Linked DNA regions of Macaca fascicularis. The main gene of each other region encodes a partner of the protein of the gene in region 2 in a complex. Links are inferred from orthologs where the notes say so. Each region holds a gene or a part of one and is shown on either strand. Other genes may lie near its edges. The genes, in order: SUFU and GLI1.

What was found.
Region 1: the proteins of GLI1 (region 2) and SUFU are in contact, whole or in part, in a crystal structure (PDB 4KMD), measured with the Homo sapiens proteins. The link is inferred for Macaca fascicularis from reciprocal best matches to the Homo sapiens genes GLI1 and SUFU. Residues at the interface, in NP_005260.1 of Homo sapiens: Gly119, Ser120, Tyr121, Gly122, His123, Leu124, Ser125, Ile126, Gly127; in NP_057253.2 of Homo sapiens: Leu144, Tyr147, Asn153, Thr154, Phe155, Gly158, Asp159, His160, Val161, Ser162, Trp163, His164, Gln212, Asn265, Leu266, Ser267, Gly268, Val269, Ser270, Ala271, Glu376, Leu380, Lys398.

What each region holds. Positions count from the first base shown.
Region 1 is NC_088383.1:111,604,109-111,607,916, forward strand, and holds part of SUFU (suppressor of fused homolog), read left to right. Parts: intron 1-211; exon of another isoform or gene 212-318; intron 319-1,276; coding exon 1,277-1,419; intron 1,420-2,317; coding exon 2,318-2,403; intron 2,404-2,669; coding exon 2,670-2,742; intron 2,743-3,808. UniProt on the Homo sapiens protein: Negative regulator in the hedgehog/smoothened signaling pathway. Down-regulates GLI1-mediated transactivation of target genes. Down-regulates GLI2-mediated transactivation of target genes. Part of a corepressor complex that acts on DNA-bound GLI1.
Region 2 is NC_088385.1:64,273,246-64,277,053, reverse strand, and holds part of GLI1 (zinc finger protein GLI1), read right to left. Parts: intron 3,043-3,808; 5' UTR 3,016-3,042; coding exon 2,916-3,015; intron 2,711-2,915; coding exon 2,618-2,710; intron 2,034-2,617; coding exon 1,838-2,033; intron 1,607-1,837; coding exon 1,462-1,606; intron 1,117-1,461; coding exon 1,027-1,116; intron 936-1,026; coding exon 798-935; intron 483-797; coding exon 333-482; intron 1-332. UniProt on the Homo sapiens protein: Acts as a transcriptional activator. Binds to the DNA consensus sequence 5'-GACCACCCA-3'. Regulates the transcription of specific genes during normal development.

The DNA.
Region 1 (3,808 bases), on a different chromosome or scaffold from region 2:
AACACGGTGAAACCCCATCTTTACTAAAAATACAAAAAATTAGCCTGGTGTGGTGGTGCTTGCCAGTAATCCCAGCTACTTGGGAGGCTGAGGCAGGAGAATCGCTTGAACTCGGGAGGCGGAGGTTGCAGTGAGCTGAGATCATGCCACTGTACTCCAGCCTGGCAACAGAGCGAGATGCCGTCTCAAAAAAAAAAAGAAAAGTGATCTCGTGCTCACTTCAGCAGCACATATACTAAAATTGGAACGATACAGAGGGGATTAGCATGACCCCTGCGCAAGGATGACATGCAAATTTGTGAAGTGTTCTGTATTAAAAAAAAAAAAGAAGTGTTCTCTAAGATATATAATTAAGTGAAATCTGCAGAATAGTGTGCTTCCATTTGTGTACGAACAAAACATGCAAGGGAGCCTGTGGATGCATAGGCTGGTCATACATGGCACCTTGGCACCCATGATGAGAGTCAGAGCTAGTGAGAGACTTAGTACCCTGTGGGGTTGTTTTCCCTTGTGGTTATGTGGCCTTAAACAAAACTCTTTCTAAAGTAATGTGCCTGCTTGAAGTGCAATGGTGAGCCTGTGTGTGAGGAGGCTGTGCCCTTGGCAGCAACAGCTACCCTTCGCAGAATCTGAACATCTCAGAGACATAGCCTGAGGATCCTCATGAGTTGTCTCTGCCACAGTGCGGGAGGCACTATCTAGACCTCCATTTACTTGAAGCCTAGTGTTCCTCAGGAATTCCTGCATCTACCTGTGGAAACTGGTGATAGATCTCAAAGGCCCTCCAAGGTTGGATGTTTCCTTCTGAGCGCCGTTTCAGCAACACAGAAATCTCGTTCTGTTTCTCCAAGGTGAAGGGCTTTCGTTGCCCTGTTGCCTCCCTGTGGACTTCTGGCCAGGTGGCCCCACAAAAAAGCACCTTATTCTTTCTTGGCAGATCCAATCATGGCTCCTGCCTCCCACCATGAGTCGGGATATTGGGGAAATGAAGCAGATGCCAGAAGTCTTTCGGGTTTCCCAGGCCAAAGGAGCTTTCACACTAATAACCTGTCCTTTTCATTTAAGTCTGACAGAATTGGCAAGCAGGAACAATTTAGGTTTTTGGAAATATCCACAAGCTCTTTGCTTCCATCCGGAGTGAATGCTTCTCTTCCTTCACAGGGGCTACCCTAAGAGGCTGGGAAGCCTCCCAGCCTGTGCTAGTGAGATCCCAGCCCAGATTCCAGGTCTGGATCTGAGGCCTTGAACACTGAGGATCCTTGTGTCTCTCCCACAGAGAACACCTTCTGCAGCGGGGACCATGTGTCCTGGCACAGCCCTTTGGATAACAGTGAGTCAAGAATTCAGCACATGCTGCTGACAGAGGACCCACAGATGCAGCCCGTGCAGACACCCTTTGGGGTAGTTACCTTCCTCCAGGTGAGGCACAGGTTGAATGCTGGTTCAAGCCTTCCTGTAGGAAGAGTCCTGGGAGGATAGGGAGGCTTGAGGAAGGGGAGTGAAGGGAGTGGGAGGTTTCCTTTGGCCTCCTCCTGATTTCTGTTTCCTCTGATGGTTTGTCAGGTAGATTCAGATGGTCTGATTTAACCTGCTGAGATGGGAGAAGGGGGAAGGGGAAGGGGCCATTTGGGTGGGAGAGAATGGCTGTAGCTGAGAGGGAGGAGTGGGGGTGGCAGGTATTCTGTGAACAGTGAACAGGACTTTCTAGCAGGAAGCCAGCTCTGGGTCATCCTTGCTGTTTCCCAGAAGCTGTGGTAACCTGCCCAGCTTTGACCAGTGTTTGTTTTTGGTCACGATGAAGTCTATGTGAAGGTTCCACTGATTCCTTTGATATTTACACAAAAGCCTATCCCCTAATAAGGAAGGGAGGAGTTTCTCTGCAAGCTGCTAGGACCTATTGGTGGTGGTTCCAAGCCTGATAGGTCTCAAAGTCTCTTGTTTACATTCCCCATGATACCAGACTGGGTAGGAATGGCTCCCTGAACCTCCCCAACTTCCAGAGACATAGCCTGAGGACACATCTTGAGTTGCTCAGGCCTTGGTTTTCTCCTTTGCAGCCAAGAGCTAGACTTGGTGTCATCCAGACACAGCAAGGGCAAGGGTCAGGCCTCAGGGCCCACCAGTGGACCCAGCCATTTACCAGCCAGGCAGCCACTCACTCCTAAGGGAACCATCCCATCTTGGCTGTACCAGCTCCTAAGCACAGATCCTGCCTGTGGTCTCCCAACTGGAGGTGACTCAGAGAGCCTGAGTAACTGACCTTCTTGGGGTGGGGAGCTGCCATTAACACACAGTGGCTTTCTATCCTGGGCCTCAGATTGTTGGCGTCTGCACTGAAGAGCTACACTCAGCCCAGCAGTGGAACGGGCAGGGCATCCTGGAGCTGCTGCGGACAGTACCTATGTGAGTACCCATGCAAGGTGGGAGCCTGGCTCCCTGGGCCTGGGGATGGGAGTCCCTCCACCACCCTCCATGTGGGGCTCCCTCTTGCATTGTTATTTCAGGCCCTGGTTTTTCACATCAGGGCTTCCTGACAACTCACTCCCTGACAGTCCCTTACCACAAACTATTCCCCTGTGTCCTAGGCCTGGGGCAGCAAACAGGGCAGGCTGTAGGCCCAGCCCATCAGCCCCAGATCCTCAGTTACCATCCCCTTTCCTTGTCCACAGTGCTGGCGGCCCCTGGCTGATAACTGACATGCGGAGAGGAGAGACCATATTTGAGATTGATCCACACCTGCAAGTATGTCTTGAGTGAGGAAAACCTTTCTAGTAACCTGTGCCTAGGCCTCTTCCAAATAACACTGGCTTTCATCCTGGGAAAATGGAGGAGCTTTATGTGTGAGTGAGTAGAAATTTGGCATCATTTGGAACTTGTCCCCTGAATTCTGCGGAGCACATAGGGAACAGAGATTTCAGCCCAGGAAAGCTAGTCCTCAGACATACGTATTTTGGCATTTTAAAAGGATATTTTTATTGTATGTAAATTACATATTGGCTTAAAAAATTAGATCGCCAGCAATAAAAGATAAGTGTAGTGGATATTGCTTGTTTGCCCAGTATTCATTCTCTTGCCTCCCAGACTTTCTTTTAGGGAGCCACCATGGCCACCACAGCCCTGTACCAGACAGTGGTGTAGGTGATAATGACTCCATGGCCCAGCTTCAGGAGTGAGTGCTGATTGGTCTAATGGTCCCATCCCCGTTTTCGCCACATTTTCTATCTTGGACAGTCAGACGCAGAGCTCCTAGCCTGGAAAGGTTGGCACCTTAGACATACAGGCTGGCAGCTGCCCACTCCCTGTGGCCCACCTGGACAGTGTTTCAGTGTCATCTTTGCTGTTTTAGAAGCATTCCTTTGGCATGCAGGTAAATCTAGAAAGCCACAAGAACGTAACTGCCTTTTTTTTTTTTTTTTTTGGTGGGGGCGGAGTTTCACTCATGTCACCCAGCCTGGAGTGCAATGGCGCAATCTCAGCTTACTGCAACCTCTGCCTCCTGGGTTCAAGCAATTCTCCTGCCTCAGCCTCCCGAGTAGCTGAGATTACAGGCGCCCGCCACCACGCCCAGCTAATTTTTGTATTTTTAATGGAGACAGCGTTTCACCATGTTGGTCAGGCTGGTTTCGAACTCCTGGCCTCAGATGATCTGCCTGCCTCGGCCTCCCAAAGTGCTAGGATTACAGGTGTGAGCCACCACGCCCGGCCTATAACTGCCTTTCTTATGGGCTTCTCCTGAAGCAGAAGCCACAGACAGCTAATAATGTTACCTGCCACGTGTCTGGCTCCTTCTACTCCCCTGACCAAATTC
Region 2 (3,808 bases):
ATGTTGGCCAGGCTTGTCTCCAACTCCTGACCTTGTGATTTGCCCGCCTCGGCCTCCCAAAGTGCTGGGATTACAGGCGTGAGCTACTGCGCCCAGCCTGGCCTGTTTAATTTCTTTTAAAATCAAGCGGAAAAAAAATGAGCTTTTACATCCAAGAGTGTTTTAATATATATCATTATATTCTTTATGCCAACACAGTCACACAAACATTATTTTTAATATTTGTTTATGGAAGAAAGGACTTACAAAAGCAAAAATCTGCGTTGGGCCCTACCTTGAAGGAGAGCCCCGATTTAGGAAGAGACCCTGGACTTGGGACCCTGGTGCCTCACCGTGCACTTGTGTGGCTTCTCGCCAGTGTGTCTGCGCATGTGCACCACCAGCATGTACTGGGCTTTGAAGGGCCTCAGCTCCCTGGAGCAGCCCCCCCAGTGGCACACGAACTCCTTCCGCTCCCCGTGGATGTGCTCGCTGTTGATATGCTGAGGGAGAAGATACAAAGGCTCTCCGAGGCTCCGCCATGCCCCCCAAGGTCCAGAACAGACCTTCCCTCCACTCCCTGTTCCTCTTCCACGACTGCAGCTCAAGGAGGAAGAGGCAGGAACAATATCATATCTCACATCTCAGGTCTTCCAGCTCCCTAAGGCAAAGTTACAACTTCTGAGCTTCTGCCTACCCAACTGAGCATTCAACCTCAGTCTCCTCTGACCTCCTGCCCTCAGCCAGATTCTACCATGTCCCACTCAGAATCTCCTAAAGTTTTCGGTTAGCCATTCCTGTTACCCCCTGGGGCTCACGTGCACCAGCTGCTCTTGGGAGTCAAATTCCTGGCTGCAGCCATCCCAGCGGCAGTCAGTCTCATACACAGATTCAGGCTCACGCTTCTCCTCTCTCTCAAGGTCCTCTCGCCCATCCAGCATTCCCAACAGGGAATCCTAGGGCAAGAGAGGCAATCTTAGGGTCACTTGGGTGACAGCTTTAGTTTTGCTCAGGTCCTAGAGGTAAAGCTCCCGCCCATCCCCTTACCTGTATGCCTGTGGAGTTGGGGCTGGACATATCACCTTCCAAGGGCTCCTCCCGGCACTTGCCAACCAGCATGTCCAGCTCAGACTTCAGCTTCCCCAGGGGAAGAGGTGACAGTGATGAGGGTGGAACTCAGCAGAAGGAAGAGGAAACCAAGCCAGGTCTTCCTGCCCTAAGTGCCCCCACCCAAGCAGCTGGAACCTCCTGGGTTTGGAAGGGACTTCCTCCTCAGACTACACTGGTGAATGGGATGGGCAAAAGATCCCATTTGGAAGTGTCTGACTCAACTGCAAGGAGTGAACCCCAGCACCCACACCTCTTTACTTTTCTAGTACTGAAAACTTATAACCCTTGTCCTTCTTCACCTTTCCCCTACAAAATCCACCACCCACCCACCCTGAGCTAAGGGAAATCAGGTAGCAATATGGGGACTCTCACCTGGCAAGTTGGGAGGGGTCCCCGGGACTGAGGGTGTGGGATCATCCCACCCCGGGCAGAGTCATGGGGACCACAAGGCTGGACTCCAAAGGAAGGCGAGGGCCCTTTTTGGTGATTCATCTGGGCTGGGAATCCCAGAGATGGGCTGAGGAGGAGAGAAGGAAGTTACTTAAGACAATCTGGAAGTCTCAGGAGGGATTGGGCTATTTGGAGGATTTCTGGAAGACTTGGGATTTGAAGTGGTTGAGGCAGTCCCAGGGAAGTACTGAGGAGAGTTGCCCTTGATTCAAATAGGGTCAGGTGGTTTGAGGGCTTGATACTTTTAATGGACTTGGGTAGGGGCTTTAGGGGCCTCTTGGCCCGGAGCTGACTGCACCTCATGGTGCTGATGGAGAGATGGCCATAAGAGCCTCCTGGAGATGTGCATCGCGAGTTGATGAAAGCTACGAGGGAGCTGGGTGAAGTGCGGATAACCGTCTGCAGGTCCAGGCTGGCGTCCGACAGAGGTGAAATGGACAGTGCCCGCTTCTTGGTCAACTTGACTGCACTCCGGGGAGAAGAAAAGAGTGGGCCTGGGGCAGGAGACACGGGAGATGGATATGGTAAAGGGGCATGTCTCTCCACACACCTAACCTATAGGTCCTGACTTGGCAAAACCAATGAGACTTGATTCTGCTTTGCTCTACTGATCCTATCTGTGACTTTTTTTTTTTTTTTTGAGACAGAGAGAGAGAGTCACACTCTGTCACCCAGGCTGGAGGGCAGTGGTGCCATCTTGCCTCACTGCAACCTCCACATCCCGGATTCAAGTGATTCTCCTGCCTCAGCCTCCCCTGTAACTGGGATTACAGGTGCACACCACCACGCCCGGCTAATTTTTGTATTGTTAATAGAGATGGGGTTTCACCATGTTGGCCTGGCTAGTCTTGAACTCCTGACCTCAAGCGATCTTCCTGCCACAGCCTCCCCCTAAAATGTTGGGATTACAGGTGTGAGCCACCACGCCCAGCCCCATCTGGGATTTCTTGATGGTGCTCTGACACCTCACATCTCCAAACATCTCCTCCTCCAAGTGAGATCCCCTGCCCTCCCACTTTCTCTTTCAGAACAAGTCAGAGAGGGGCAGAAAGGGGAGAGGTGTTGCCTGAGTCCTCACCCTCGGTGCAGCTGTTGGTCTCTCTGGCTGGCCCATAACTGTGGGGGCCAGACATGAGGTTAGCTTGGTGGCAGAAGGGCAGGCCAGACAGTCCTAGAAAAAAGAGACAGCTGGAATGGGAATGGAGGACATGTAAGCCTCACCTTAAAACCCCAGGCAGGACCTGATCCCAGGATTCCAGGTCCATATGACATGGGGCCTCAAATCTTGTAGATAGGAAACTGGCATGGGGCGGGGATGGGCCCAAGTGGGAGATCTGCCAAATCCTCAAGGCCCAGGAATTGGTATATACACTGACCTTCTGTCCCCACACTGGGGGCCCCCTGACTGGGGAGGGGCCGGAGACAGCAGGGCTCGCCATAGCTACTGACTGGTGGTGGGGTCATCGAGTTGAACATGGCGTCTCAGAGGAGGGTGTGGGGACACTGCAGAAAGGGAAGGTAGTTATGAAGGTGGAGGCAAATAGAGACGGTCAGACAGCAGTCTCAGGCACTGAATCCTGGGCACAGCATCCCTGGTGTCCCCAGCCCCTCTAAAACATCTGCCATGGAAATCGAGTTGAAAAGAGCATCACTGGGCCGGGCACGGTGGCTCACGCCTGTAATCCCAACATTTTGAGAGACTGAAGTGGGCGAATCACCTGAGGTCAGTTCAAGACCAGCCTGACCAACATAGTGAAACCCCCGTCTCTACAAAAATACAAAAGTTAGCCAGACATGATGGTGGGTGCCTGTAATCCCATCTACTCGGAAGGCTGAGGCAGGAGAATTGCTTGAACCGGGAGACAGAAGTTGCAGTGAGCTGAGATGGCACCACTGCACTCCAGCCTGGGTGACAGAGTGAGACTCCGTCTCAAAAAAAAAAAAAAAAAAAAAAAAAAAAGCGTCACTCAGCCAGGCAAGGCAAGGGGTAAGGGGAAATGTCCCAGAGAGGCAGAGGGAGTCTTATAGTCTGTGTAGTCTGGGGATCTTCTTGGGAACTGGTGGGAGCTTTGCCTGTGTGGTCTGTGTGGAGAGGGCATGTTTTGGATTGTGCCTATATTAACTTCAAGTTATTTTAGTAACATGGACCCTCTAATTCTTCTTGTTCTAACCCTGGGCCGGCTTTGAGGGGTGGGATGGAAGAATACGTGTGATGAATCTGACTTCAAGCACTGGGCCGCTCTGCTTGAGCCTGTTTCCCCTTCTCATA